4 linked regions of the Ovis aries genome follow. The protein of the gene in region 2 purifies or fractionates together with the protein of the main gene of each other region. This does not show direct contact. Links are inferred from orthologs where the notes say so. Each region holds a gene or a part of one and is shown on either strand. Other genes may lie near its edges.

Evidence for each region.
Region 1: the proteins of AKAP9 (region 2) and CSNK1D purify together in Homo sapiens (affinity purification with mass spectrometry; 4 studies listed by BioGRID and IntAct, counting the BioPlex papers as one, with this or other methods). This does not show direct contact. The link is inferred for Ovis aries from reciprocal best matches to the Homo sapiens genes AKAP9 and CSNK1D.
Region 3: the proteins of AKAP9 (region 2) and PRKACA purify together in Homo sapiens (affinity purification with mass spectrometry; 7 studies listed by BioGRID and IntAct, with this or other methods). This does not show direct contact. The link is inferred for Ovis aries from reciprocal best matches to the Homo sapiens genes AKAP9 and PRKACA.
Region 4: the proteins of AKAP9 (region 2) and CDK5RAP2 purify together in Homo sapiens (affinity purification with western blotting; 4 studies listed by BioGRID and IntAct, with this or other methods). This does not show direct contact. The link is inferred for Ovis aries from reciprocal best matches to the Homo sapiens genes AKAP9 and CDK5RAP2.

What each region holds. Positions count from the first base shown.
Region 1 is NC_056064.1:50,123,887-50,131,364, reverse strand, and holds part of CSNK1D (casein kinase I), read right to left. Parts: intron 6,781-7,478; coding exon 6,632-6,780; intron 6,362-6,631; coding exon 6,133-6,361; intron 5,803-6,132; coding exon 5,632-5,802; intron 5,169-5,631; coding exon 5,020-5,168; intron 3,110-5,019; coding exon 2,938-3,109; intron 2,377-2,937; coding exon 2,237-2,376; intron 1-2,236. UniProt on the Homo sapiens protein: Essential serine/threonine-protein kinase that regulates diverse cellular growth and survival processes including Wnt signaling, DNA repair and circadian rhythms. It can phosphorylate a large number of proteins.
Region 2 is NC_056057.1:10,029,539-10,037,552, reverse strand, and holds the start of AKAP9 (A-kinase anchor protein 9), read right to left. Parts: upstream 4,796-8,014; 5' UTR 4,564-4,795; coding exon 4,516-4,563; intron 1-4,515. UniProt on the Homo sapiens protein: Scaffolding protein that assembles several protein kinases and phosphatases on the centrosome and Golgi apparatus. Required to maintain the integrity of the Golgi apparatus. Required for microtubule nucleation at the cis-side of the Golgi apparatus.
Region 3 is NC_056058.1:9,912,495-9,920,481, reverse strand, and holds the start of PRKACA (cAMP-dependent protein kinase catalytic subunit alpha), read right to left. Parts: upstream 5,473-7,987; 5' UTR 5,463-5,472; coding exon 5,417-5,462; exon of another isoform or gene 1,533-5,416; coding exon of another isoform or gene 1,511-1,532; intron 61-1,510; exon of another isoform or gene 5-60; coding exon of another isoform or gene 1-4. Other genes in the region: SMIM46 (small integral membrane protein 46), read right to left, coding at 1-4.
Region 4 is NC_056055.1:3,073,916-3,081,393, forward strand, and holds part of CDK5RAP2 (CDK5 regulatory subunit-associated protein 2), read left to right. Parts: intron 1-2,877; coding exon 2,878-3,439; intron 3,440-5,415; coding exon 5,416-5,648; intron 5,649-7,478. UniProt on the Homo sapiens protein: Potential regulator of CDK5 activity via its interaction with CDK5R1. Negative regulator of centriole disengagement (licensing) which maintains centriole engagement and cohesion. Involved in regulation of mitotic spindle orientation.

The sequences.
Region 1 (7,478 bases), on a different chromosome or scaffold from region 2:
CAGCCGAGTGGCTCCAGGCGCTTGTGTGCTGACGATGAGCTACCTCCTTGGCCTAGGTACACTGGCGCAGGATGCAACCTCTCCTTGAGGAAAGGAAGCTGGTAAGAGGAGGCCGGGCTCGGTGCACACGTGGTGCTGGCCCCTGGATCCGTGTGTCATTGGCCCTATTCCTGCTTGCATCTTTTGGTGGGGGTTGGGGGTGGGGTGTGTGAATGGAGGCCACAGTCATAAAAGCTGGAGCAACTCTGATCACACCCTTGGTGGTCAGCAGTCTTTCAGAGTCTCTTAAGGAAGAGCACCTGGGGGATGATCAGGAAAACCTGAAGGAGAGAGCTGTCCAGCTGCCCTCAACATGAAGATCATAAGGAAACTCCCAGGGTAACTAGGGTGCTTCTTTTGGAAGGGACACACACAAATTGAATCTCTTCAGAGACTGGCTCCCCCCACCCCACTGTTCAGGCCCTCCTCTTCGTATGGAAAGCAGAGAGAACCAGGGGGCAAAGACATGCAATTGTGATGGAAAGATTTTACAGGAAAGGTCTTGAAGCTGTGTGTTGTCAACGTTCAGGGGTCATGGGCTGAATGAAGATGGACACAAGGTGGCAAAGAGGCTAGATTAAAACCCATAACTGCCTGGCACTCTCAGGACTCAGCCTCTTCCACTTCCCTCAATGATCCGCAAAGCAAAACACGTTTTCTTGTGTTAAAAAAGAAGTTAGCCTGCCCCTTCCTTGTTCTTGCTGGCTGAGGTGTTCTGGAGCCCTCTACCAGGCCCGCCTGGCCAGGCATGGTGAACACCTCCAGGGACCTGCTTCCAACTGCTAGCTCATGCATTCCAGGGCTTGTGGGAAGAAACCTGTTAAGCCCCTTCTGTGCCCTGTGGTGACAGAGGACGATTGTGGGGCTGGGAGTCCTCAGAGGTCCAATCTCATTACTGACCCACTGAGCCGCATAATTTGAACTACCTGCATCTTCAGTCTCTTACAGAAAGTTACCATGTAAGAAAAACCCATTTCTAGTAGACTTGCTAGTAAATTACTAGTAAATTTGGCAGAAACATTAATTTCACTTGATTAAAGTGTGCCTGGGCACACCTTGTTCCTCTGCCACAAGATCAGCTGGATGCCACAGGACTGAGGTTCTGGGAGTTCTCACAAAATGCTCGATCCACCAAATTCACCAACGTTCTACGCCCACTGCCCAGAAAGCACCGAGGAGGGCAGGACGCAAAGCGTAAACGTGAGGCATCGCGGTGAAGCACAGGGCCGCTGCCCCAGCACACGGCCGGGACCTGGGCTTCGGACATTCCTCAACCCGCCACCTGCCCATCGAGAAGACACCAGGGGGTAGTCCCAGTTCCCACGGGACACTGGCTGAAGCAGGAGAAATGGTTCACTTGGGTTGTTCCTGACCCCTGTCTGCCCCTACTGCCCTGACTGCAGGAGACCCTGACGCGACTTGAGGAAAAACGTTCGCATGTGGGCAAAGAGCTGCTCTGCTGAGGGAGGCACGGTAGCAAGCACAGAAGGACAGCGAGGAAAGCCACAGTGGGAAGAGGACACGGGGGGAGGGGGGGCCCTGGGACCAGGCCCTGCACCTCTGAGCACACTTGCCGCGCCAGACAGAAGAGACATCAGAAGGGGCACCAGAAGACAGAAGCCCTCGCCCCGAAGCACACTGCCAAGCGCTGGGCTCTAGAAGGCCTCTGCCCACAGCATTGCAGTGACGGCCGGCAACACACCATCCCTGCCACCCCTGCCCTGGCACTCTGCTGGGGGAACAGCTGGTCAACAAGATCGAGGACAGAGTCTTCAAGGCTGGATGTGCCCACAACAAATGGTGTGAGCAGGCTGGAAGCACCAGCCTGCACAGGGAAGATGGCCAAGGCTCCAAGGCTGCCCGGGGGCTGGGAGTCATGTGGAGGGCAGCAGGAGAGAGAGGGCCCTGTGGCACGTCCCAGCACAGCCTGAGGGGAGGGGTGTAGAGCCCTTACCTCACACAGCTCATCAAGGAGGCTCTCAACCAAGGGGCCAAGCTGCATTGAGGGGTACAACGTTACCCCATCAGTTAAAACACCAGAATATGGGAAGAAAGGGAAGGAAGGAAAGAAGGAATGCCTTTGAAACTATGACCTCACTCTGCTTGGAGCCCATAAGACCAGACCAAACGTGGAAAAGTCAGAGGCCCACAGCACCCGACCTGGGCGAGCTCAGGTGCTGGCCCACGGGGTGCGTACCTGTGAGGTGGACATGCGGGAGGTGTCTTGCCGGCCCGTGAGGTCAGATGAGGAGATGTTGACCGGGGCACCGCGGTGCAGCCGCATACTCACTTTCCGCTCTCTTTCCATGCCGGACACGGGCCTAGGAGAGGTGTTCGCTGGAGGAGAGGGAGACAGGGGCAAGCGTGAGGCCTCAGAATGCAGCCCCACACTCCAGCACAGGGTCTCTCCTTGAAAACCACGTCTAACAAGGACCCTCAGCTGCCTCAGTTTCAGGCACAGGACAGCTTACTGCACCCTAAGATTAGGCCGGCATCACAGGTTGATCCCTGGGAGTAAAGCACCAGGAGTCTAGTGGGAGGGTGGCTGGGGCCTCTGCCTACAAGGCCTGTCTTGACAGGCAAGGAAGAGGCTAAATGTTGTGTCATGAGAACAAGAGGCAAAGCAACAGAGCTCACAGGGAACATAATCCTTCAACAGGCCAACTTCTGAGAAATAGATATTATGGAAGGCACTATCCCAGGTGGTTCCCTGGCGTGTCTAATTTCGGAAGTAAGAAATGAACAGAACGAGGACGCACACGCTTCACCCACAAGGCACACTGCCCAGACCCCATGAGGTCACACACTGGAGTGTCCGGAGCAAGCGACACACAAAATAGAACCCCTATTGCCTGCAGCGCGGGGACCAGGGTGAGCTGCAGCCCTGGGACCACTCACCAGTGTGTGAGGTAGGGGTGAGGGGGGTGGGAGGAGCCACCTCCTGTGTCCCCCTCAGCCGGCCCGAGGCCGTGGAAGGGAGGCCGCGGGTGGCTGGATTTCGGGAGTGTCTCAATCGCTCCTCTCGGTCCCGGCGTTCCCGCTCAGCATCGTCAGCTGCCCGGCTGGCTCCCTATGGAGGAAAGAGGGCGACACCAGAACTGAACTGGGTTTGGTGAAAAACCACCTGAGGCCCTTGGCCACCACTCGAAAAAACACGGGGGCATGTGTAACAGGCCCCCCCGAAGTCTGCAACCTCTGACAAGTCAGGCATTCCTCCCTCCAGGGGCGCGCCTGACCCGTCCCACGACCGAGGGCGAGCGGAACCAGGCTTGTCTCCTTTCCCAGCAGAGGAAACCTCTACCCACTCGCCTTATCACTCCTCAGAACCCAACCACCAACAGCATCTGGCAGCCCTCATCTCTGCGATTATTCATGTGGGGATGGGAACCAGCGAAGGTCAGAGGCGGCCCAACGTGGCAACAGCTGGGGGAAGGTACCCATGCGACAGGCAGAAAGAAAGCACTGCATTTGGTCAGCTGAAGAGTCTAACCAGAGCCCAGACGCCTGGCTCGAGTCATCCTGCTAGTGTGCATGAGACGAGAATAGCCGCCAGGCTCGTCCCAGGTGGCGAGGCAGTGGGCACCACTTCAGCTAAACTAGCTGCTCCCAGAACAGCTAGTCAACACTTTCAGGGAGAAGCACAGGGACCCTGGATTTTAAGTGGTGACGCCAGGGTACCTGTCCTAGTAAAGGTTATGTCCTAATCACCAGCACCGTAAGGCAAGAATCTGCAAACTGCAGCCCATGGGCCAAATGCAGCCACACTCATTTGTGCAAATAGTTTTCTTGGCACAGTCATGCCTGCTCACTGACGCACTGCTTTGGCGGCTGTCCAGTTATACACAACACAGAGTCGAGCGGTCACAATGCCATACAGATGGCAGAGATAAAACCATTTATTGTCTGGCCCTTTATAGAAGAGGTTTGCCGAATCCCTGTAAAGGGTGACGATGTAAGAACAAAGAATTTGTTACAGTGGCTCTGGCAGGAAGTGCACCCTGATGTGCAGACTCCAAGGAACCTGCAGCACTGCCCCCGAAGGTTGTCCTTCGAAGGCCATCCTAATAAAGAGGTCTGGCAGGATGGCACGGGCCAGGTCCAGGGCACGCTGGCTCTGTGGGCTGGCACCAGCTTGAGGAGGCTGTGGTTCTCTGCCCTGATCTGGTCCGTGTGAGCACCCATGCACCCGTGAGGCCACGGGATAAGGCTTCCTGTTTTGCACTCTGAGGAGGAGGTTCTGTTCCTCCATCAGATTTTGTCACCCTAGAAACATGCCAATTTTTGTTTTAAGCTCACAGAACACATTTTTAATGAAAGAGGAAGTGCAAATTAAAACAAAAAACTGGGATTCTGGCTGTAGTGTCAAAGATTAAACAAACGCCTACAACAGACTCAGAGACAGGTGGCCTGTTTTAGAGGAAACAAACTGAAGTCCAAGCTCCCACTCTATCCCACCCCGAGCCCCGACAGTGCACGTGCACACAAACACGGGCTCATAATAATGAACAAACTGGGTGACGAAGGAAACCAAACGGTAGGTCTAGCTCCTCACAAGGCCACACGGAGACCTAAGACACGGTACCTCCCAGGCCACCCAACCCCTGGGAGGCTGGGCCTCAGCACAGCCAGGTGAGGGGAGGAGGGGAATGTCTTCACCCCGCCCGGTGGGAGTCACATCCCCTTGACAAGGAATTCACAGACCAGCGCAGTCACAACATCCTGAGGACCGCAGAGTTCAAATGAGAGCCCTGGTCTGGGCAGACCTGCACTGTGGACTCCATCGTGGCCCTGAGGTGCCTCCTTGGCTTGCCCGCTGGCATTTTGCTTCTCAGAACCCCTTGTGCTCCCCATGTGGCAGCCATGCCTCCTGAAGCCCCACCGCCTATAGCTCCCAGAAAGGGATGGCAGCAGCTGGCAGCCTTTTGCTGACAGGCAAGCCCCTTCCATGCTGAGTGGTCAGTGAGCTGGGGGCACACTTACAAATTTGAGCATGTTCCAGTCGAACACGTAGTCATAGGAGAAACCCTGGCGATGGAACAAGTTCCTGAAGAGCTGTCTCAGGTATGAGTAGTCAGGCTTATCGTCAAAACGCAAGGAACGGCAGAAATTTAGGTACGTGGCGAATTCAGCTGTAAACACCAGAAGATTCAGAGGTAACCAGCAGTATTCCTGCCTGAGAGCCAGAATGGTGTCTGTCCACAGAACCTCTGACCACTCACGGCCACAGAGAGAGGCTGCGAATGCTGGAGCCTGAAACATCAGGCATGCTTTGGGGAAAGAGGATGAGAAAACTGAGCACCACAGAGCATAACAGCTTCATCGGAGACACTTATCCCAGGAGAAGTCTCACAAAAACAAAAGGAAAACTCCCTGAGTTATGGCTCAGGAAGGCAGAGGAGCACCAGGGACAGAGGCTGTGGCCACTCGGAGGGGAGGCCACCTGCCCAGTCTTCAGCTCCCTAACTATGCAGGGCGCTGAGGGGGCTTTGGACAGCCAGCCTCTGGGGGGCTTCCCTAGTCCTTCTTCCAGACCTCACAGGCCCCTGCCCTCCCACAGAACTACAACTGGCTGACTGTCCACCAGACACTCACAAGGGTAGCCTTTGCACAACACCTCGATGGGAGTGGACATCTTCTTTTCACTGATCCTCTCATACTTCTGCCTCTTGGTAGCAGCCTTCAGGCCCTGCCAGGGCAGTGAGCCCAGGTTGAAGTACATGAGCACGTAGCCCAGAGACTCCAGGTCATCCCTTCGAGATTGTTCTGGATAGAGAGGAGAGCAGGTCAGGGTGGTGTGCCTGAGCATGCACAGCAACACCCCACAGATGCTGCCTGGGGATAAACTCAGAGCCTCAGAGAAGGACACGTGGAGTCTTTGCTTCTGCAGAAGCAACCCTGCTGTGCCGTTAGGAGATGCACTGCCACCCATTAGGAAGCCCCAGCACATGCTGTCCCTCACGCCTCACAAGGTCTGCAGGCCCAGATGCCAGCCTTTGCTACGAAGGTTTGGTGCCAGCCTCCATACCCAATGTGCCACAACCAACCCTCAGGGGCCCCAAGAGGCTGCAGGACAGCCAGGGCGGGAGGGCTCACCGATGCCAAGGTGTGTGTTGATGGAGGCGTACCGCGCCGTCCCAGTGAGGTTCTTGTTCTCACGGTAGGGGATGTGCTGGTGGGTGCGGGCGTCCCGGTACTTCTTAGCCAGCCCGAAGTCAATGATATAGACCAGGTTGCCCTTCTTACCCAGCCCCATGAGGAAGTTGTCCGGCTTCACATCTCGGTGAATGAAGTTCTTCGAGTGTATGTATTCAATACGACTAATCTGCAGGTGGAGAAGCAGGGGTGACAGGTTGAACCCCAGGCTGCAGCCTGGCAGAAGGAACCAAGGGGAACCCTGGCCCACTTGCAAACATGCCCTGGCCTCCATGGGTCACTATCTCTTGCACAGTTAACAAGCTTCTGTTTTCTCCGTATGCACGCATGGCACAAAAAGGAAGCAAACAACCCTGAAGGCCTCATCAGACTGATCAATCAATCCAGCCCTGTGCTGAGCACGTGGGCTGCCCTTCAGTGGAGAAAAATGAAGTCTTACCATTTGGTCAGCAAGGAGTAGGACGGTTTTGAGACTGAACTTCCTAGAGCAAAAGTTGAAGAGGTCTTCCAGGCTGGGTCCCAACAGTTCCATCACCATGACGTTGTAGTCCCCCTCAGCCCCGCACCACCGGATGGTGGGGATGCCCACTGCAAGAAAGTCTGCGTCAGTCCGCCTCCCGTGCATCTGCACTGAGGATGCCCGTGCCTGTGATGCTGATGGGGGGCGGCTGGGCAGGAGCAGTGAGCAGTGACGTGGGGAGAGGCTGGAAGGCCAATTTCACAGTGGGGGTGGAGTGAGGGGCTCAGGAGGAAGAGCCTCACTGGCTCCCACAACCGGGTCCCAGTCTCCCTACGACTGACATCCTGCACCAGTATGGTAAAGCTGTCACAGCTAATGACCCAATGCCGATACACTGTCATTAACTGAAGTGTATACTACTCAGGCTTCCTCAGGTTTAACCTCATGCCCTCCGGCCGCTCTAGGACCTGTCCCAACCTCACATGACGAGTAGTCGTCATGTCTCCTTCAGCTGCTCTTGGCCAGGAGGGTCTCTCAGACTTTCCTGGTCTGAACGACCCCAATGGTTTGGAGGAGGGCTGGGCAGTGATGCACGGGCTGTCCCTCTGCTGGCCTGCCTGTTTTTCTCGTTGTTAGTCTGGGCTTGTGGGTTTGGGGAGGAAGACCACAGAGGGGAAGTGCCCTTCTCATCACGTCCCGCCAGGGCTGTGCTGTCGACATGACTCCTCACCATGGCTGTACCCCTGGTCACCTGGCTGAGGTGCGTCTGTCATATGTCTCCACTGGGGAGTTCCTCTTTCCTCCCCTGCCCATGCCATCCTCCCTG
Region 2 (8,014 bases):
CTGGATTAGCCTTCAAAACCTCTCTTCAATACACACTTTGAGAAACCTGTTCTGCTCATTCTTTCCTCCATATTCTCTCGTTAAAGCTCACAAACTAAAAATCACGTTTTGCTTTTTTCTTCCAACAAATACTAAAGGTCATGAGTTGCTTTTTAAATCGCAGACAATGCACCACTCTTACAGTAAATGTTGAAGGTATCAAACTGCAGTATCTACTTTGAAAGCTAAGCAAGCTATGTCACAGATAAGAATAAAAACTAGAAGGTATAAAAGAAACAGGGATGGAGAACAACGCTCTTAGTGGTGGAGGGGAATGTCTGAAATATGCAAGGAGCAATTACACACCATGACTAACTTCGTCTATCAGAGTGGAAATAACAATTGAAGAGTCCTATTATCAATAACCTAATACACAACTTGCAGAGAGCACTGTCCTTTTTGTATAGAACTAGCACTATTTTTCAAACGGAAAATCCTCATTAAACAATCATATAATTATTACTTACTGAATGCAACAGGCAAAAATTTTTATAATTATTCAACAATGCCAATTATATTAAATGCTGAATAGCTAATAAAAACTTGTGGTTTTATAGAATTCTGCTAGTAGAATGTTAAAAAGTATACATTCTGTGAATATGCAGAAGTAATTTTACACTAAATATACAACTGTCCTCTAATTCTGTTTGCTAATATTACAACACTTTCTTTTCCAAAAAATTGTAGATAATTTTACTTGGAAAAAACTGAAGTCACTTCAAGTGGAGTTAGAAGTCTGGATCAACACAAGGACGGCCTGTGTAGCGCTGTCCTTGTCAGCTCCTTGCAACGAGGTTAGCCTGGTTCTGAAAATATTTACTTAATGCAGTAATGTCTCATGTCTCCACAGGTCATGCGTCTTACTACCTCAGTACTGAGGAAGTAATTGAGGACCCAACAGCAAATGAAAAAACCAACAAGGAGCAGAGAAACGAAATAGTCATAAAGCGCATTCACAAGGCTCCATCAGTGCTTGGTTGTTACAAACGAAACCATCCCCTCAAGCTACTCACAGGAAATCTAAAACAGCAAATTAAGGGAGGAGGCAGGTTAGATGGAGATAGGCATGTTCATGGCAATGAGAATCGACAGAGAAAAAGCATAAGATCTACAAAACCAGAAAGGAGATATATAAATGTCTAATAACAGAGAATCCCAACTACAGAATGGAAACAGCACTGGAGTAAGAACTGTAGTTCCAGAACTACACTGATGCCAGGGCCCTTGGGAAGCCTAGTTACCCTAGGGCTCATCTTCCTGTTCTGTATAACGATCAAACAATATTAACATTCTCTTCAACATACTATAATTGATAAGCTTTTACTGTTTTCAAAAATGGCATGTAAACATTTTTACTGGTCATAAAGGAAATATACTGCAGAGAATCTGGAAAATACTAGGAGTGTAAAGGAAATTAAAACTGCCTATAACCTACCACCCAGAGATACCCATCATTTATATCTTGGTGTATTTTTTTTCAGGTGTCTTCATATATAAAAATTGTATATATATCTTTTTTGGTAACATTGTTATCAATCTGGTGTTATTTGTGGGCATTTTCCCAAATCAGAATGTTTCTGCAGAATTATTTTGATGGCTACATATATGGCAATTTGGGCTTCCCTGGTGGCTCAAACGGTAAAGAATCCACCTGCAATGTGGGAGACCTGGCTTTGATCCCTGGGTCAGGAAGATCACCTGGAGAAGGGCATGACAACCCACTCCAGTATTATTGCCTGGAGAATCCCATGGACAGAGGAGCCTGGTGGGCTACAGTCCGTGAGGTTGCGAAGAGTCAGACATGACTGAGCAACTAAGCACAGCGCACATACCAAATTTATTCTTCTAACATTGTGAATTTTGGTTGGTGTAACACATTTTATAAAGTATACTATACTGAATTCACAACAGGTCATTTTAAAAATGATCATTTATAGATACAGAAAGGAAGTAAGTTTTTCAATGAATAGTTTACCAAACACCAAGAAGAAAATTTCCAAGTTGTGGTCTGTAAAACTAGATTAGCAAATACAGTATTTAAATTCAATGAACAAACAAGACATTCAGAGAACCAAGTATCTGAATAAAGTTTTAGAAATGGTTGTTTTCAGTGATCTCTAATGCCAGCAATGAGACTTCCAATGACAAGAATTCTGAATTACTGTTATTAAATTACAATATGCTAGTCAAGCAGCACATATTAACAGCTCACGGTCACTCTGCTCATTCATTCACTAAGCAAATATTTACTGCATACTTACTATCTGATAGGTGTCAGGCTAGACTGCATTAAATATCAATTATCAAGAACCTTCTTTGTAAAATAGTCTTAAAAATGAGGCAGCAACATTTAACACATTTTAACAAATGACACAATTCGCCACAAATTCTATAATACCACCTCCCTCACTGTACTTAGTACCCAGTATCTGTCCTGCTAAACTTTGAGCAACTTCAGAAAACAGACTGTCACCATCTCTGTATTTACAGCGCTTGGTGTAAAACAGGAGTTTGACACAGGTTTGCGTAACGACCCTACACTCACAACCCAAAGTTTTTAAGTCCTAATATAAAAGCATACATTTATACAAAAGAAGTAATGTATACACTATTTTCGAACTATGTCCATGTTCTTACTGTTCATGTTCCTATCAGCCCTCGTAACCTTAATGGCTGAAAAATATTCTATCATGCTTAAATAATATAGTTTAGAAAGTGATTCTCCTAACACTGTCTTTGGAGGTTGCCCAGTGTTTTTATATTTTGGTGCCAATGCTCCAGCAAACACATCTTGCCTTACATGTCTTGAATTCTTTTCTGACTAGAAAAATTCAGCTCAATTCTAGAAGATAATCTTCCACAATGAAAGTGAATGTTAAAAGGATAAGATTTTTATACCATAGGCAGAATTTTGAAAGACAAAAAACACACATACACACAAAGAAACTAGAATTCTTTTTCGCCAAACCAAAGCAATTTAAATAAGTCCTCTGTTATGAGAGGTGTTGTCCAAAGTAAACTATGTTTTTTGGACGGCTTCATATATATTTAGGAGAGATACTTCAGGAGGCAGATAGTAAAAATACTGAGGTAACAAGCAAACAAACAAAACGTCTAACTACAACGTCAATGCTTTTGGAAGGAGGTACACACTTTTCCTCCACTTTCTTCGATTCATAGATTGTGCTCAGATCCTCAAGACTGCAGAAATGTAAGCAACGTGAGATCTTAAAGATGCCTTGATTTCCTTTCCCTGTGTATAGATCCTAATAACAATCTACCTGATACAAACACTTAAGGTTTGACCTTAGATAATACAGAGATAGTTTATACATTTATATTAAGTCAAGAAACTTATGTTCAGCATCTACAATTGTATCTCTGCAGTGTGGTTCTTCAGTGATTACTGAAATCAGACCCAGTCTCCTTTTGCTTATTTGGAGGGAGGAGACAGAGAGGAAAAGAAACAGTTAAACTATTTATAATTTAATTGAGATGCAAGTATGACTGTGAACAATCATCTCTAATAAAACAATATACAGTAAACTGTAATTTCATCATAGGGAGGAAGGGGTCCTTTTGGCCAGTCAAAAAAATATGCTCAAGCAAGTAATTTTAAATTCTATTTCTTTTAATAGTATTAATATTTAATATTATTAATATTCTATTTATATTTAATTTATATTTCGTCTATGTCAAATTGTTCATGAAACCCAGTGAATAATAAAACCTTTTCCATTGTTTCCTTTACAGTCTTTTTCATACACACATACAAGATAGGGACTCGACAAGAAAGCAAGAATTCTATAGGTGATGCTAGGAATATGGACCCTTTCGTCCCCGTAAGTTCCATTCACAGACTGCGGTAACATTCCACACAATACAGGGCGCATGCCGTGACAAAGACCTCCGAACACAAACATACAAAGCCATGCTTCTAAAAACGCCCCTACAGCGAAGTTCACAGCTGGCACTTGTGGCACACTCAAGCCACGACTGAGGCAGCTGTCACAGGCCAATCACACACTCAAGAGTGCCAGCGTGCCACCTAAGAAAGCCAAGCCGATGATGAGCGTACAAATCCCCACCCGAATAAAGAAGAGCCCCAAATCCCCACCCTGAAAAGCACAATGTCTGCACAACCCAGAAAACTCCCTCAAAACAAGTCAAAGGTTGGAGATTCAGAAGCAAGCTGTAACAGCTTATACAGTAAAAAGGAGAGGTTTTATGTGGGCATTCACGAGAAAGGAGCCACACCACCCAGTCATCACGGAAATAACCGCTAGGTAGTGTCTCACCAGGCTTTTTCAATTAGAAAAGGGAGACGAGGGCAAGGCGACGGCAGACGCCGCCGCACCTCCGTCCCAGGCAGCGCGCCGGGGCTGCCAAGCTGAGGCCTCCGCCTCGCAGGACCCCTGCCAGCCCTCCCCGGCCACCGCCTCCCAGCGCAGGCCGGGCGGCCTCCGGCTCTCTCACCTTGGCTTTGCCAGCCTCCAGCTTCTTCTGTCTCTCTTCGTCCTCCATAGCTTCTGCGGGGAAGGCTGGGGGGAACACAGGCAGGGGGTCGGGGACGGGAAGGCAAGGTCGGTTCCAACGGGGGTGGGACCGCAAGCTCCGCGGCGCAGGGCGCAGGGCCGGGCCGGGCGCTCGCCCCTCCCGGAGCGGAACCAGGCTGCGCGCTCACTGGCTGACCGTCCTCAGCCGCACGGGCCGCGTCGTCACCACCGCCGCCATCTTCGTCTCCACGTAAACACACGGCGGAACGGGAGGGGGGAGCACGTCGTCTGCGCAGCCGCCGCGAATCCCGCCGCGCCGGGCAGGTGCGCCGGCGGCCCCGCCCCGCCCCGCCGCGGCCCCGCCCCGCCCGTCGCGGCCCCGCCGGCCCCGCGGCCACCGCGGCGACCCCCTCCCGGCCTCCCGCCCGCCGCGCCCACTGGCGGAAACCCGGCTCTCGGGGGAGCACGCTTTCCCCGGGGCGCATGCCGCTCCGCGGGTGGAGGCCTGGCTGAGGAGGTGGGAGAGAGGGCGCTGTGTCAGGAGCGCCGGTCGGACCCCCACCGTCGTCCAAGGGACTCAGTGGTCCTTTTTAGAACATTTGAGATTTTTCCAGTTTCAGAGCAAAGGAGAAAGTACAGGTGCCTAACGCTGAAACTGGTGAACGCTGAAAAGCCCCAAAGGAAAAGACGGGGGCGAAGAAGGGATTGGGTTGGAGAAGTGAGCCACCGGATGACAATTTTTCAGCCTAGATTGACTGGTCAACCCGGAGGACTGGCAGGGCGGCCAGTAGCCTTCACTCCTTCCTGAGCCGAAAGTGCCTCCCTTTTTCCTCACATGAGGCTGCCCAATCGCCTGTTCATCTTCGAGGCCCACCTCACTCGCCGCCCTGAATAGCTTTTCTGATCTCTTTGTTTCCTCCTGTCTTAACTCAATCTCCTCCCACGAGCTTCCCCTTAGCTATGGTGCCCTGAAAGGCTCTAGGCTTTGCAACCTGGGTTGAAGACAAAGCCAGTGTAGACTTTTTCACTTAAATGACCTTGAACAAGTTACCTATCCTCCTCTAGCTTACCTGGAAGTTTTGGAAGGCTTGTTAACATATGTGAGTTAACGTATGTGACTCCCCCTGGCATATCAAAATATCCTTAATGTCAGTTCTCTTCTCCCTGTATTTCCTTTATGTACTCTGTGTTTTAATAACAACTTGTGCCCTTCTTAATTGGAGAAGGAAATGGCAGCCCACACCAGTATTCTTGCCTAGAGAATCCTGTGGATAGAGGAGCTTGGTGGGCTGCTGTCCACAGGGTCCCACAGAGTCGGACACGACTGTAGCGACTTAGCATGCATGCACGCATTGAAGGAAATGGCAACCCACTCCAGTGTTCTTCCCTGGAGAAGCCCAGGGACGAGGGAGCCTGGTGGGCAGCCGTCTATGGGGTCGCACAGAGTCGGACACGACTGAAGCGACTTGGCGGCGGCAGCAGCAGCTGCCCTTCTTACTTCACCTCCTACTCCCAACTCCTTAATGGCAAAGATTGTCTTGCTCACCTTGGCATTACTAAAAAGACCAGGGAAATGCTTTGCACTCAATAAACACTTGTTGGATTGAATTGAGCCATTTTAATAATTTTAGCATGACTCTCCTTCCTTTATTTTCATATCTTCCCTCATTACTTCCTTTTTCTTCCCCATCATCTTACCTTCAAATCTATTCCTGGGATGAACTAACTACACTTTTTAATTTCTCTAGTTGATCATGTTTCTCCTTTGTTTTGGGTTAGGCTGGACTGAAAAACTAGTATGTGTGAACTGGAATAAGCTATGCGTTAAATCATACAAGTGGTGTTGAGTGAAATTTGGGTTAAAAAAAGGAAAAAGAAGAAAAGCAAAGATCTTAAATCTACCACAAACGGAAGACCAGTTTTGAATAGTCCCGATTTAGACATTCTTAGAAGGCAATGGCACCCCACTCCAGTACTCTTGCCTGGAAAACCCCATGGGCGGAGGAGCCTGGTAGGCTGCAGTCCATGGGGTTGCCAAGAGTCAGACACAACTGAGCGACTTCACTTTCACTTTTCACTTTCATGCATTGGAGAAGGAAATGGCAACCCACTCCAGTGTTCTTGCCTGGAGAATCCCTGGGACGGGGAAGCCTGGAGGGCTGCCGTCTATGGGGTCGCACAGAGTCGGACACGACTGAAGCGACTTAGCCGCAGCAGCAGACATTCTTAGATTTAAGACAAAGACTTTTTGTTCTCAGACCCTGTAATGCATATGTAATTGTGGCAGCTTGTAACACCCAAGTATATATTGTCCTGTTTTCCTAACCTGAATTGAGAAGTGGATGAGATTAAGCATTTTATCATGGAAATAAATAATTCAAATAATAAAAGAGATAATTTATTGTCACCCGCCAAGCTGAGAGTAAAACTAGGTCTGGAACTAAGTGTTCTAATAGTGCAGTGATTTAAATACTGCCTGGACAGAGGGATTGTGTTTGTCGGTTCTGATTGTCTAGGAGGAGGAAGCCCTATAATATCTGACAAGATGTCTGTTCCTGCTTGTTAATAGATGCTGCTTTTCAATAACTAAGGAATTCACTTGTTTGTTCCACTATGTGCTGAAAACATTCAAGAAATATTTGTTCCAGTATGCGCTGAAAATGTTCAAGAATCTTTTAAAGGAATAAGATCATTTCAGTGTTTCCTGTTACTAAGACCAGCCAATCATACATGTTCGTCTTATATTAATATATAATGGGTGCTCAGTAAAGGTTGAAAGTTGCATGTTGACTTCTGTTAGAAGGGCAAATATGTGGCGCTAGTGCTCAAACACCTCCTTCTGGCAACTATTCAAGTCCTATCATTCATTCACATCATATCCTGACAAGATACCTGAGCAAAGAATTGCAAGAAATGAGAGAGTGAGCCGTGGAGATAGGTGAGGATATTGCAAGTCTAAAGATCCTGAAGCTAGATCATGACTGTCTTGATAAGAGCGGGAGGCAAGGGTGGCTAGAGTAGAGTGAGCAAGGAGGGAAACAGTAGGAGATGAGATCAGAGAAGTAACAGGAGGCCAGATCCTGTAGAGTTCTGAAGGTCCTTAAGGACTGGCTTTTACACTAAGTGAGCCTGGGAGCCATTGGAGAATTTTGAGCAGATAGGTGAAATGTTCTGGATTATGTTATTAAAGGACATCTGGCTAAGAGCAGACTGGACTATGGATCATTTTGGATGCTATTGCAATAATCTAGACAACAGATAACTAGGAGTTTGGACAATGGTAGTGGTAGTGAATTAGACTCTGGGTATATCTTAAACAGGGAACTAAGAGTGCCACAGGAGTTGCAGATTGCATATGAAAGTTGAGATAAAAAGAGGAGTCAAAGTTGACTCTAATGTTTTTGTCCTGAGCAACTGAAATGATGGAGTTGCCAATAACTGAACTGGGGAAGAGTAAACTTGGAGGAGACCACGAGTTC
Region 3 (7,987 bases), on a different chromosome or scaffold from region 2:
CCATCCCAGGCCGCCCTGACTCTCCCAGGAACGTTCCCTTTGCAGGGAAACCAGGAATACAGCAGAGTCTCTGAGCTGACTTTCTTGGGAGGGCCTCGGGGTGGGGGTGGACAGGGGAGGAGGAGCTGGTTGCTAGGGAAGCATTTAAAGGTACCTGCTCCCAGCTGGCCAAGGTTGGTAAAGGCCCTCCTTGGCAACAGGTGGTGGGAAGAGTCTCCTGAGGGTGTCCCTCCTGGCTGGCCTGCCTGCCCTGGGGGCGGGGTGCTAAAGCTAACTTCCTGTTCCAGGGACTTCACTGCTCCCCACTGCCAGGCCCTGCCTTTCTCAGTGGGTGCTAGACTGCCCAGAGGATGGCATCCAATGTGCCCAGGGCAGTGCCCACTGGGGAGGGGAAGGAGTTAAGGCTCAGGCCCAGGCAGCAGCCAGGGCCTCCCTGGGGGTCAAGGAGGCCCCAGAACTCCATTAATTAGCTGAAAGAGCAGCTGGAGAGAAAGGCGGAGTGGGGGGGGGGGGCAGTGAGAAACACCCTATCTCCTCCCCCAAGTGCTCTTTGAAGCTAGAGCCCTCAAATTTGGCTACTTTGAGAGAGGAATGGGTAACACTAACTCAGCCCTGCTCCTGTGCAGGGGCGGAGAGGGGCATGGCATCCCGGGATGTCCTTGGCCTCTGTCAAACCTTGCCCTGTGCTTGGCTCTGCTCTCAGCCCTGAAAGTCCAAACCGGAAACGAAACGCTAAACCCAGGGGTGGGGGAGGGGGAGGCAGCTTTGACCATCTTCCTCCTTCTTTCCAGATCCCCAAAAGTAAGTGCAGGGTCAGTGGCAGCTACTTATTCCCGGGAGTGCCCGGCAACCTCGGCCCCTGCTGACAACAGGAAGTGGCAGAGAAGGGAAACCCAGCTAGCTGCTGTCTTTGGAGACGGTAGGCCTGGCCTGCTCCTGTTTCCCACAGGAGGGGTACCAGCTTCCACCCTGGTCTAGATTCCATTTGGGCTCACAGGGAAAACAGCCCCCAGGGCCCCAGCAGGAGGCAGGATCCCAGGCTCAGACCTCCTCCCCCCCAAAAAAAATCTCAGGATCCCCTGTTCCCTGAAACTGACTCCTCCTGGAAAGTCTGCGACAGGAAGGCCAAGCCCTAGGCTGAGCCACCCCCTAGTCTGAGTTGGACCTCAACAGTGGACTGGACCACTGCCTAGTACCACCTGGACTCCATCACTGAGCTGGACCAACCCCCCACTCTGAGCTGAATGCCATCACTGAGCTGGTCTACCCCATTGCCTGGGTCTGGGTCAGATCCCCACTCTGGGTGGATCATCCACCCCACCCCCCACCCCCTTGTCTGAATTAAACCACCCATCTCCACTCAGGGTGGTTAGGAAGGGTTTCCAGGGCCAGTCAGGGGTCCACAGCCTTTTCCTCTCCACTTGCTCCCTAAACTCTACTGTAATCCCTCCTTGACTTGAGGGTCAGAGTGTGCCTGGGAAGTTGCTATAGCAACAGGGCTCAGCCTCACCATCGTTGGGGTTGGAAGCCATCACTCAGTCTTCCTCTCAAAGCACCCGGACTACGGTGGCTGGGAAGGCTCATGAGACCTGCTGCACCAGCTTAGCTGCTCATCACCAGAGCCCTGCCTATAGGGGGAGCCAGGGAGTATTGGGGTAGTGGCAGGAAAAGAAACCCAACCTGGGGGCCAGTAGGTGCAGGGGAGGGGCAGAGAACCCTCAAGCTTCTTTAAGCCCAGGTGGACTTAAAGGAAAAACTGTCTTGGCAGGACCCTCTTGGGCACCTGTACAACTGCCAACGCACAGACGGTGTTTGGCCCTCTCAGGCTTCTGTAGTATGTCATGAAGGCCACAATTCTTCCCATCTATGGACCTCTTGCGGAGAAGGCAATGGCACCCCACTCCAGCACTCTTGCCTGGAAAATCCCATGGATGGAGGAGCCTAGTGGGCCGCAGTCCATGGGGTTGCTAAGAGTCGGATATGACTGAGCGACTTCACTTTCACTTTTCACTTTCATACATTGGAGAAGGAAATGGCAACCCACTCCCGTGTTCTTGCCTGGAGAATCCCAGGGATGGGGGGAGCCTCGTGGGCTGCCGTCTATGGGGTCGCACAGGGTCGGACACCACTGCAGCGACTTAGCAGCAGCAGCATGGACCTCTTGGGGGCAATTCTCATTCTCAGAGCATGAATCTTCTGGTCTCTGGGACCTGGGGTAGGGGTTGGGGGAGGTCTGGAGGGCTTCCTCTTACCAGTCCTGTACCTTCTTCCATGGACCAGCTCTTAGGAGTACCTTTTTGGCCAGGGCAGCCAAGGCTGGACCCCCAGTTGGCACCCGTCCCCAGGGCCTCTTGGGGCCACTGCCCTCTCTCAATTCCTCTAGCTTGTTCAGAGCCCTGGGCTTGCTCTTGTTTTTCCTCTGCCCTCTTAGCATCATACTCAGGCTACTGCCAGTGGCTCTGGCATCTTTGAGTACAGATTTCCCCCTTCCTTAGTGGCGCAGATGATAAAGAATCTGCGTGCAATGCAGGAGACCCGGGTTCGATCCCTGGGTCGGGAAGATCCCCTGGAGAAGGGAATGGCTACCCACTCCCACATTCTTGCCTGGAGAATCCCATGGACAGAGGAACCTGGCGGGCTACAGTCGATGGAACGGCAAAGAGTCTGACATAAGTGACTAACACTTTCCCCCACCCCATCCCCGGGCTGGTTCTAAATTCCTGCCCTCTTGAGAGGAGGCCAAGGCTGTCCTGCCCGAGCATGGAGACGGCAGCACAGGGGGCTCCAGGATGCCAAATGGTGCCTACTAAGGTTTGGCACTTTCCTTACTCTAGTTGGGCTGATGTCTGGCAGATGAAATTCAGGTGCCCCCTGAAGGCTGGCCTGGCTACTATCCCTACCCCCACCCCATCCTAGTTGCGGGAGAGGGCAAATTTTGCCTAACTCCATCCTCTCAGAATAGGAGCTTTGAAGCAAAAAAGGGCTTCTTTACTCATCCTGTCTCCTTCTCCAACAGCCCCTGCAAATCTCTGGAAGGAAGTACAGCTTAGGGTGTTTCCCAAAGTGTAACCAGGTCCCACTGGCTGGGGACGAACTGATGTTAAGGATATTTTGCCTTTCTAGTTACACTGTATCTTAAGGTGTACCAGAGAGAATATAACTGGTATAGCAATCCCATGATTTCATTTATATTATTTCTCAGGACAGATCAAAACTTACATCTGAACAAAAGTGAGTCAAAATTTTTATTTCCGTTAACAAAATAGAAGTGAATATAGTGAAAAATCAGGGGGGCAGCTTTGAGTTGGGAAATTCTGGGGTCCAGGAATTTGGCTGGTAGATGGAAATGGATGTGAATCCTGCTTCTGTGGCATCATCTATGTCAAACTCAGAGAGCTCATTTGTAAAATTCAGGTAACAGCCTGTTATGAAAAATCACTTGAGCAGAAAGATCTATGAAGACCATTTAGCCTGGCACATCCTAGCTGCCCAGTAAATAGTGGCTCTATTTTATCCTGATAGTCCCTTCCTGGCTGTCCAGCCTGTACTCTGAATTAGCGGTTCCTTCTGGAGCTTCTGATCTTTTTCTTGGGAATCCTTTTCCCTGTGTGGCTTTGCCACCCCACCTCTCTCCACTGCATGTGTTTGATACGCCTTGAAAGTTTTCCAGGACTATGGCACCTCCCCAACTTTCAACTGAGTCACTGAAATATACAACTGCCTGCTTCTACCTTCTACCTCTGGGCGGGCCTCACCTGCTGGGGGCCCAGCCCCTCCCCTTCTGTCTATCCCCTCCAAGCTCATGCCCAGACCATTTTTGGTCACTACCCACCTGCTCCTCTGTCATCAAGCGCTCAGCTACAGGCACTTGCCTCCCTTTCCCCCGCCCATCAGTGACATGTCAGGCTTCTCCATGGCTGCTCAGCAGCTATAAGTTCTGCTATTTGAATCTGGGTGGAAATAAAGTTCCCTGGCTTCCATGCTTGGGTCTTTCTGGGAGGGAGCATTCAGGGAACTCAGACACTGGGATCTGAGACAAATAACTGGGAAAGGCATATTTGGATGTGGCCATTCCTTTTCAACTCTATTTCTGGGTAACTGGAAAAGGATCCTAGTTGAGGCCCAACTTTAGGGCTGGAGTGATGACAATTTGAGAGCTGGATGACTTGAGGAAGGAGCTCAAGACCATTTCTGAAGGCATTTCCAGGTACAGAATCTCTTTCCCTGGCTGGCTGGAAAAGGCCTATATGATTTGGGGGCTTAAGGTGGAAACAGGGCCACCTCTGGGTGAACCCTGGGGATGATCAGAATCTGTCTCTTGGCAAAGCGAGTCATTAGATGTCACCCACTACTCTTCCTAACTGTCATCCCTTGAGTCCTCTTTCTCACCATCCCAGCTCTAGCTGAATGAGCCCTGGTAAACTCACTCTTAATCCCCTACTTTTCATCCCAAGCCAGGAGCAGGTAAAGAAGCCTGAGGGACTGGGTGAATGATCAAGCCTCAGTTGTGACACAACCATTTATTGAGGGGCCCTCCAAAGAGCCTAGAGCTCACTGCACAGCAGGAGATGGGAAGGGGCTCTCTGCTGAAACCCCTCACCCCCAAAGCCAAGGAAGAGGACGCATGGAGTTCCAGCACGATTGGCTCAAACCTGGCTTCGCAAGCACAGAAGCAGTTCTCTAGGTTCACAAACAGTGTGCGACCCCGGCCAGGGACAGACGCTTGCTTGGAGAAGGAAGCACAAGCAGAGAAGCAGTGACAGTGACAGGATGAGAGAGGGGCAGAGGGACCCAGAAAGAGCCTGTCCCCCATGCCAAGTGACACAGAAGGGAAAAACAATGCTGGAAGTGGCTCTGGGAAATGCTCAAGGGTGGGTTTGAAGAGGGGCTGTGATAAGGTGAAGAGGGGAAGGGCAGGAGAAAGATGGCGGGGGCTGGAGGGGGTAGGGGTGTGGTCACCAAGTGGCCAAGGTCCCTGTTGGGCGGAGGCAGACCCCATAGCACTCCCAGGCTGGCAGAAGCCTGGGTCGGGGTTTGGCAGTGAGTCTCATCTGTGGAAGAGGTGAGTGAGGAAGTGGGGGGGGATTAGAACCTAAGGAGAGGGGCCAGGAAAGTACGGAGTGGGGTGGTGATAGGGCCCCATGTGGGGGCCCAGCGGTCATACGTGCCATGGTTGGCAGTGACAGCTGAGGGGGGAGCACAGTCTTTGCAGTGGAGGGGCGGTTTTTGGCAACGGGGTTCCTACGAGGTCTTCTGCGGGCCCCGGGCCCCAACCTTGGACAGGCAGGGGGAAGGGGCGCCTGGGGGTAAGCAGAGAGAAATGGGGGGGGGCGTGGGGGGAGGGGCCAAGCAGTGATGGACAGGGAGGAGGCTGGCAGCGCGAGGCCGGGATCGGGGTCACGGCCCGGGCACTCACCGCTCTCTTGCTCACTGCCCTTCTTGGCGGCGGCGGCGTTGCCCATCGCGGCGGCGGCGGCGGCCGGGGCCGGTCCCGGAGCTGCGGCGCGGCGGGTGCTGGAGGCGGCCCGCGGCCCCGGAGCACGCTGGGCGGCGGCGGCGGCGGCCCCTCGGGTTGGCTGCGCTGGCTGAGGCGCCGCGACCCCCGCCCAGCCCCTGCTTCCCGCGTCTCTCCGCGCCCGCCCGCCCGGGAACCTCAGCCCAAGTCCGCTGCTGCTGTCCGTGACGCCCCCGCAGCCCGCAGCTCATTGGCCTAGGCCGCCCTGACTGACGGCGCTGCGCCGCCATTCATTGGCCCTTCGCGACCCTCCCGCGCTGCCATAGGCTCTCGGCCTCATGACGCGCTCCTAGGACGCTTGGCCACTCGAGCGCTTGCGAGACCCCAACCGGGCGGGCTAACACGTCTGATTGGCGGAGGCTTCCGACAGGGTCCGGGGTCCGCCCAGCGAGGATACCAATTGGTGGAGGCGCGCTGTCCGGCAAGCCCCGGCAGAACGTTCAGTGTCAATCCCTGGGTGAGAGGGCGGGGCGGAGGCGCAGTCTGCTGCCCCGGCGCGCCGGCGGCCGCTGGCCGGCGGCCGCGCAGCGCTCCGAGGCCCAGGAGGCGGTCCAGGCAGGCGTTCGCCCGGCCCCGTGCGCGCCGCAGTCCCCCGCCCCCGTTCAGTGCGGCAGCGGCTGCGGGCCAGCCAAGGTTGGCGCCTCGGCCCCCCCAACCCCAGCCCCGGCGCAGCCGCTGTCCACCTGCCAAGCGGGGGAGGGGCGCGGCAGGCGCCGCGGGTCATAGGTCGTCGGGCTGCCGGCCGTCGTCATTCATAAGGCCTGGCGCAGGATAGCAGCAGCAGGGTTGGGTCCAGGATGGGACCCTGCTGGAGGAGCTTCAGGAGGATGCTGGGCTCTGGGAGTGGGGCCCTCAGTAGACACCTCTTTGCTGGGTGCCTACCCTGGCCTCATGCCAGTAAGAGCTGGCACTTGTTACATACATTACTTCGCACCACACTCCTTTCACGTAGGTATTATTATCATCATTCCCATTTTACAGATGAGGAATCTGGGGCACAGCCAGGTTGAGGATTCCCTCTGGGCAGTGCAAAAGGAACCTTATCTCCTGAAACAGAGTAGCAAGATGCCTCTTCCTTCAGCGTGCGTGCGTGCATAATTAGTCGTGTCCGACTTTGTGACCCCATGGAATGTAGCCCATCAGGCGCCTCTGTTCATGGGATTATCCAGGTAAGAATACTGGAGTGGGTTGCCATTTCCTCTGCCAGGGGAATCTTCCCAACCCAGGGACTGAACCTGCGTCTTTTGTGTGTCCTCCAAAGGCAGGCAGATCCTTTACCACCTGGAAAGCCCCTCTTCCTTCAGGGTCGCCTTTAAATACAGACAGAGTGAGGACGGTCAGTTTCCCACCGCCACGTTTGTGACATTCGGGTCTGGCTCAGTCTATGCTGGGCTGGGGGTGGGGCACTGCCTTGTACATTGTAGAGTGTTCAGCAGTATCCCGCCGCCCCCCACCCCCCTCACCATGCCAGTAGAGCCTGCTTTTCTTCTGCTACTTGTGACAGCTAAAACCATCTCTGCCATGCTGAGCCGCTTCAGTCGTGTCCATCTCTGTGCAATCTCATCGACTGGAGCCCTTCAGGCTCCTCTGTCCATGGGATCCTCCAGGCAAGAATATTGGAGTGTGTTGCCATTTCCTTCTCCAGGGGATCTTCCTAAGGGAGAGATTGAACCCTCATCTCTTAAGTCTCCTGCATTGGCAGGCAGGTTCTTTTATCACTAGTGCCACCTGCCACCAAAACCATCTCTAGACATTGTTAAATGTGCCCTGGCTGGGTGCAAAACTGCTGCCCAGTTGAAACCACTGAGGTAGAGGAAAGCCCAAACAGGAAGTGATGCCAGGGGCAGGGAACTGGATGAGCTAGCCTCCCTCAGCTTGGGGAGGCTGACTGGTCTCAGTTCTACAAGCCAGCTGGCTGCTCTGAGCCTGGACTGGTATGACCTGTACACCCCACCCAGGAGCCATCTAGACCCATGTTCCTAAGTCCACCTTCGTTTCAAGGAGAGAAGTCTGGGTTTTCCTGTGAATTATGGGGAAATGGCTCACCACTTCACCTGGGGATGTGGAGTTACAAAGTAAGTTTAAGTAAAATTTAATACACGTATTGATATGTGGGTCCTCAGAGAGCAATGCTAATTTCTTCTGGTGGGTCAAGGTCATGACAAGTCTGAACAATCACTGGTTATGCTCTATCTACAGAACAGCTGGGTTGCTTAAGTTTTGACAAAAGAATCTTCCTGGACCTCAGTCTGGAATAAAACTATGACAAGACAATAAAAAGAAGCGAGTAAGAGAGAAAGGGGCAGTCAACCTACTGGTTGAGGCAAGAGGGCCCCCCCCACTGCCCCCATCATGAGGAGAGAGAGACAAAACCGCCTCAGCCTACTGGAGACAAAAGCAGAAAGAATCTAGATGAAGTGCTTTTTATTTTCAGATCAACCAAACATTTAATATAAAAACCCTTTAATACAC
Region 4 (7,478 bases), on a different chromosome or scaffold from region 2:
ATCCATTCTGAATGTAGCAGTTTGTATCCGCCAGGCCGGAACTCCCCGTCCAGCCTTCCCCCTGCCCCTCCTCCCTGTTCTCTGTCTGTGAGTCTGTCCTGCTTCACAGACAGGCTCGTTTGTGCTGTATTTTAGAGTCCACTTAGGAGTGACGTCACAGGGTGTGTGTCTGTCTCTCTCTGACTCACTTAGTGTGATCATCTCTAGCTGTGTCCAAGTTGCCGCAAGTGGCAGCATCTTGTCCTTTTTACAGCTGAGTAGTATTCCATTCCGTATACGCACCCCATCTTTATCCATCTGCCCATAGACATGTAGGTTTTTTCCGTGCTTTGGCTACCGTGAATACTGCTATGCAGTGATTTTTAAGTGAAAAAAGAAAAAACAAAACTCCTGCTTTGGAACCTTATGACGGGCTCCAGAGCAGACTGCAGAGCCGCGTGGCCGTGCTGGCGCTGAGCTGTGAGACTCGCTGTGTACTGGCCCAGGTGCCCGGGAGTCAGCCCTTGCCTCTGCGAAGGCACAAATTGCTGTAGCTGAGGAACATTTCTGAAGTCAAAATTTTGAGAGTCAAGTGTCTAAAGGAGCTGTAAGGTTGTGCAAGTGGGAGTGTGAGGAGGACAGCTCCTAGCTGTGATGGGAGTGTGTGTGTGCGTGTGCGTGTCTAGACAGCAGAGGTGGCCACAGTCTGTATCACAGAAGGACACTTGTACGGGGCTTCCATTTGTCTTTGCCTCATGATTACTTATGGAAAGTCATCAGAACTGATCTTTATTTCCATGAGTGAACATCACTTCTGCCATGAAATTCCATTATCAGGAGGTTGTTAGAACAGAGCTATTTCCTTGCCTTGGAGTGTGACTCATAGGAAAAAAGTCTTGTTGAGCTTTCTCCCTCTGTCTCTCTCATACACGTTCAGCCAGCAGGACTCCCTGAGTCCCTTCTCTGTCCCAGGCCCCAGGCCAGACCCTGGAGAAGCAGAGATGAATGACATGGTCCCCACCCTGAAGGCCCTCAGAGCTAGTGATTATAACACATCTTGTGCAGTAGAAATGCTCTGTTAGGAATGCTTTCCTGAGGTCACGTAGCAGTGGCTTTCTAAAATTCAGAAGTTTATTTTATGGTATTTGCATCGTGAGCAAGGACAAGAATGGGCTTACAGCCACGAGGAGCAGCTGCAGAACCCAGAAGCTGGATGAGACAGCCTGACAAGGACATGCGTACGCCTTTCCTTCTGCGTGGTCTCCTTGGTCATCTCAACCAGCGTACCCTGCTGCCTTGCCCACGTTTCCCCAAGTCCACAAGCCTCTGCTCACGTGTCTCTCCTGGAATAGGCGTCCTCTCCCGTCTTTGAACACCTTCAGGAAAGCAAAGCATAATCATATTGGTTGGTCTCCCTCACTGCTATGTGCCAGACATTGTTAGCCTTTTTGCGGATTCTGTCCCATTGGATACTAAAGACAAAAGCAGAATACAGGGTGCTCTCTCCCTTTTGCGGATGAAGCTTCTGAGGCTCAGAGAGGCTAAGGCACTTGCCTAAGGTCACACAGCCATTAAGTGATTAGAGCCTTCGTGTGAAACCAGATCCGTTGGCTTTCAGAGACAGTTGTTTCTCCTATGTTCTGCTGCCTTTTACGTAGGCAGACAGGTGCTTGTACTCAGCTGAGCTTTCCCTTGGACGGCAGGCAGTGTGGCGTGTGGTTAAGGACGGATGCTCTAGACTCAGGCCTGAGCTTGAAGCCTTACAACAACAAACGAGATACTGCTTGGGGAAACCAGAGCTCTGGGCAGTGAGCTCTCACCTGAGTCTGTGCAGCCAGCAAGCGGCCCCACTGGGTGTGAGCCCCCTCTGCTTTGTCTTCAAAGCTGTGTGTTCTTCCTGCAGCACCACCCTGCCTCTCACAGGAGTTTGGCTGCAAACGTGGGGATTTAAACTAGCTGTAAGGAGATGTTTCCTGGCAGGATTATGAGTCAGCCAAATACCTCCTCGCTGTAGGGGACATCACGGCATCTCCCAGAAGCTGGTAGACATGGAGACGAGGTGACTTCTCATCTGCCGAGGATTTCAGAATTGCTCGTCTTTGATGTTACTTCACTCTTTGTCCAGCGTTTGTCCGCCCTTCATTCACGTCTGGTCTGGGCTGGGTGCTGTACGAGGCGCTGAGCATGTGAAGATGAAAGGCCAGTTCCTGCTGGGAAGGAACATGCAGCCCAGTAAGGGAGAGGAACCCAGTAACTAACTGCCGTGTAAATAAATGAATGAGCCAGATGTCCGTCCTGTGCCGGCACCCGGCACCCGGCACGTGATCATGTCTGTTTTGGGTGTTACGTGTCAGGTACCATGGAAGCGCAGTGGGGAGTGACTGTTTGCATAGTTTGAACATCGGTTCACAGAGAAGGACAATCAGATTTGGGTGCTGAAGGATGAGTAGGAGCTCGTTGAGCGGGAGTAAAGTAGGTGGCCAAGGGGGAACAGTGCATGCGGAAGCCGGGAGGCATGAGCAGCCTGCTGTATGCAGGGAATGATGGTTGCTTTAGTAGGGAGCCTGCGTAGGGGGTGGCTGAACGTGTCCCTGCAAAGGTTGCCTGGAACTTGATCATGGAGGGTCTCAGATACTGTGAGAAGTTTGGACTTAATCCTCAAGATGGTAGGGGGCTGGGTGAGGTATAGGTGGGGTGGTTGGTTATCAGGGTGTAATTCACTTTTTAGCACAGTAGCTCTGAGGAGGAGGCTGGATTGAGAAGGAAGAGGGAAGGACTCGAGCCAGAGGGGCTTGGCAGGAGGCTCCCATGGTCTCTGCTCGGTGGGGGCTGTGAGCCAGGGCAGAGGGCTAGATTTCAGCAGTGGAGAGACTGACATAAACGTGGTTTGATTTCCAGGCTCTGAAGTTTACCAGCCAGATGACCCTGCCATCTTGCCACCAGGCGACGAGGACCCCTCTGAAGACTTCCCAGCTACACACTTGAGTTCCAACAGTCAGTTTTCCACTAAAATCAGTGTGGTTGGGACTGACCCGCTGGAGAGCACTGATACCTCCAACGATAAAGAAAACTTAGAACGGAAAATCTGTGACCTGGAAACGGAGCTCGAGGGCTACCGGAGCTTCATCCTGCAGCTGCAGAGGCACTCCCGGTTCAGCGAGGCCGTCATCACGGTCTTGTGTGGGACGGAAGGGGCCCAGGACGGCTTGAGCAAGTCCAAGGGCAGTGCCGACGAGGAAGAAATGACCTTCTCGAGTTTGCGCCAGGTCCGTTTTGTGAAGCACATGAAGATCCTCCACCCGCTGGGGCCAAAGATGATGGACGGCGGGCGGCCGGAGAGCCTCGGACAGCAGCTGGTGGGCCAGGAGTGTGAGCTGCAGCAGGAGCAGAATTTGAACGTGGAGCTTTTCGGTGGAATCCATAACCTGCAGAATAAGATCAGAGACCTCTCGTCCTCCAGGTACGTCCCACCTCTGCCTTTCCCCACGTTGCCACTAGGTGGGCGCCCCTGACCTGGGAAGGGGTGCTGCCCTGCAGGGACCTTGGGCATGTGCCAGGGAAGTCTTTCAAGGCCCGGCTGAGGCAGTTCCTCCTTGGAAAAGACGCTGATGCTGGGAGGGATTGAAGGCAAAAGGAGAAGAGAGCAGCAGAGAACAAGATGGTTAGATCACATCACCAACTCAATGGACCTGAATTTGAGCAAACTCTAGGAGATACTGGAGGACAGGGGAGCCTGGTGTGCTGCAGTCCATGGGGTCTCAAGAGTCGGACATGACCTAGCCACTGCACAACAACAGTAACAGTAGGGCAGCTACGCCTTCGGGGAGGTGGCGTGGGAGGCCACGGAACCTGGCGGTGTCCACACTCGGCCTGTGCCTTCGGGAATTGGCCGAGCAGGTCTTGTCCTCCTCAGGTCGGGGGGTGCAGGGTGAAGGTTTTAGACCGGCCACTTGGTGAGTCATAGTATGGTTGCTAAATGGCAGTGTTTGCTCCTGACCCTGTTAAGGGCTCTTACTGTCCTGCAGGGGAGGGGGTGGGGGACACGGAAACTGCTGTCCTAGGCAGGGTGGGGAGAAAATAATAGTGTCTGTATCTCTACCCTTTAAGGCCATCTCAGAGAAATAAGCCTGTGTTGAAAGAGAAGAATTCTTGGGTCGTGAAGACATGTTTTATGGGCTTGGAGACACACAGTTTTGCTTCATGAGATCTGACAAGCATGGGGTCATTTGTAAAGCTGACCTTCACTCGTCACTAATTTGAGACAGACACGTTGTTCAGAATTGTCAGGAGCCAAAGTGCGTTTTTCAGGGCTTCCCATGCAGTGTGATTGAAGGCAGCTGGTGTTTATTGAAGGGCAGCCTTGTCAGACCCCACGTTACGCATTGTTCTAACTGAACCCCCACAGCCACCTGAGAAGAGGTGTTCTCAGACCCTGTGTTTGTAGACGAGGAAATGGAGCCTCAGAGAGGCTGCCGTGCCCGAGAAGGCGGCCCGGGAGGGTTCGTGGAGCCCAGGGTTTGTCTCATTCGTTAAACTGGCCCCATTTGCGGTGTTGTGGTCACGTGACCTCTCTGCTCACGTGGGCTCGAAGGTGGTCACTGCTCATCATTTCAAGGGATGTAGTGAAGCGAGGGGTCGGGGTTTCTGCCCAGCCACTCTGGGGCCACCTTCCTGCAGCTGCAGTCGGTAAGGAAGACGGAGCCCCGCTTCCCTCCACTTGCGCTTTTCTCAGCGTCGGCGGATCCTCGCGGGCTCACACGGGCAGACGGGCTACCCGAGGCCGTGACGCCTGGTTCAGTTAGGCTTTGAAGGCGGAGCCCTATCAAGTCACAAACCTTCACCATTTAACCGACTTTGCCACCTCTAAGAGGCAGTTTTCTCTCCTGTAAAGGGAGATATTCGTGCATTTGTTACGTGCGAGGAATAGGCAACTTATGAAACACGCCTACTTCCGGGGCTCACCGGCCTCGGTTCCCCTGTGCGTGGCCGTCAAGGTCAGAGTCGCCTTGTGGCCCTCCCTCCAGAGCTCAGTCCTCGTCTTGTTTTCTCGCCTTCAGTTTCCTTTTTGTTTCTCCTGAGGATTTGTGCTGGCTCCCCTGCCCGTTGGCGCGCTCGTTTCTACAAATTTCGAGTAGTATTTTTAAAGAGTGAGTGGAAACTAATCGTCCTCCTGAGTCCTTGCCAGTCTGCACTTTAAGTGGGGGCTTCATAAAGGTTAAAAGTGTTGCGGAAGAACCTCTGTTCCAGGCTTTGTTGGCTGTTTTGAAATCGAAAGAGTCGGGACCTTGCGTAGTTGCAGTTGTTCCAAAAGTATAGGTACTTGTACAGCTGCAGGCTTTTCAAAATCCTGCTTTGTCAGTTTTCCGATTAGCATTAAGGTCACAGAAATCCAGTTCTAAAATGGGTGCCAGCGTTTCCTTTTCCCTCCTGTATCAGGTACGATTCGTTAGTTCAGGCCCAAGCCAGGGAACTCTCCCTCCAACGACAGCAGATAAAGGACAGCCACAGCATCTGCGTCGTCTACCGCCAGCACGTGAACACCATGATCAAGGCGTTTGAGGAGCTGCTGCAGGCCAGCGACGTGGACCAGTGCGTGGCCGAGGGCTTCCAGGAGCAGCTGCACCAGTGCGCGGCGCTGCTGGAGCAGCTGGAGACGCTGTTTCTCAAGGGTGAGTGAGTCCTAAGATGGATCAGGCACTGGTCCAGGACTTCTCGGAGGGGCCCAGGGGGAACCGGCTCCTTGGCCTCCCCTTCCGCCCCCTGCCCTGACGAGGTGATGGCAGAGCCCTACTAGCTGCTTCCTTCCAGTGCCCACTGCCCCGTGGTTGGCAGTCTGCCCTGTTCCAGACCCGGGGTCCGGTGGAGGGGCCTCGGGCCAGGCTGGGAAGGCATGGCCACGTGGTTGCCAGAATTTTCAAGAGGGGATAGAAGCCCAGGTTTGGCAGGTGAAGACTCGCGGATGGTAAGTGCTGGGGGCAGCAAACAAACGAAGCAAACAAGAAAACCCAAACTTTCATTGGTTAAAACCGATTTAAGCGTCAGAGGCGGTCTGAGGAGAATGGAAGAAAGCCTTTGCCAAACATTTGCTATGTGCTAGGTACTTTAATGGATGTTCTTACATTACAGTTCAAAAATAATAACTTGCATTTCTTTGAGGCTACAGCAGACATCTTCCACATAGTTCAGTTCAGTCGCTCCGTCGTGTCCGACTCTTTGTGACCCCATGAACTGCAGCACTCCAGGCCTCCCTGTCCATCGCCAACTGCCAGAGTCCACCCAAACCCATGTCTATTGAGTCAGTGATGCCATCCAACCATCTCATCCTCTTTCGTCCCCTTCTCCTTCCACCCTCTATCTTTTCCAGCATCAGGGTCTTTTCAGATGAGTCAGCTCTTTGCATCAGGTGGCCGAAGCATTGGAGTTTCAGCTTCAGCATCATTCCTTTCAAAGAATATTCAGGACTGATCTCCTTTAGGATGGACTGGTTGGATCTCCTTGCAGTCCAAAGGACTCTCAGGAGTCTTCTCCAACACCACAGTTCAAAAGCATCAATTCTTCGGCGTTCAGCTTTGTTTATAGTCCAACTCTCACATCCATACATGACCACTGGAAAAGCCGTAGCCTTGACTAGATGGACCTTTGTTGGCAAAGTAACATCTCTGCTTTTTAATATGTTGTCTAGGTTGATCATAACTTTTCTTCCAAGGAGTAGTGTCTTTTTATTTCAAGGCTGCAGTCACCATCTGCAGTGATTTTGGAGCCCCCAAAATAAAGCCATTTCCACTGTTTCCCATCCACTTGCCATGAAGTTTCGCCATGCGTAGCCTATCATTCTCCCTCTCTCTCCAGGCAGATACGTGCATACACGTAAACACACACGGACACCTTGCTGACAGTCCCAAGAGGAGAGTGGATGCGGTTGGCCCCTCCTCCTTGGGGAACTCCCCTCCAGGGAGAACACCGTTCTGAGCCAGTTCTCCCGCCCAGCCCCAGGTGCCCCTCCGGATTCCTGCCTTCGGCGCATGTTCCAGATCAGCCGGTCCTGCCATCTTGCTGCCGCCACGGCTCCCGCTGGCTGCCTGCTGCTCTTTGGGGCGGGCGCGGCCCCCTCTTCCCTGGCCTCTGTGCGTCCACCCTGGGCCCGAAGGGGTCCGTTTCTGCTGTGGTCAGAGAGGTCATCACAAAGTGAGTCAGGTCGTGACTGCTCTCTGCCCCAAATCAGAGGCTTTCCTCTGTGAGTCATAAGGGTCAAGTTAAATCACGGATGCGAGGCCTTGGACCGAGCTTGTGGTGCCTCACCTGCAGTCCTGAGTGCTTGAGTCCTGTATTTGTTGGGAGCCGGGGGCTTCATTCTCAGGACAAGTGGTTTTACGTGAGGAGCTCGGCCTTAATAGGGAAGACCCTCGGTTTGATGCAGTCCTGTGCCTTTGTGCAGACACAAGGATAGCTCACAAGGGTCCATGTGCTGAGTATGATGCCGAGATAGAACGTGGGGTAGT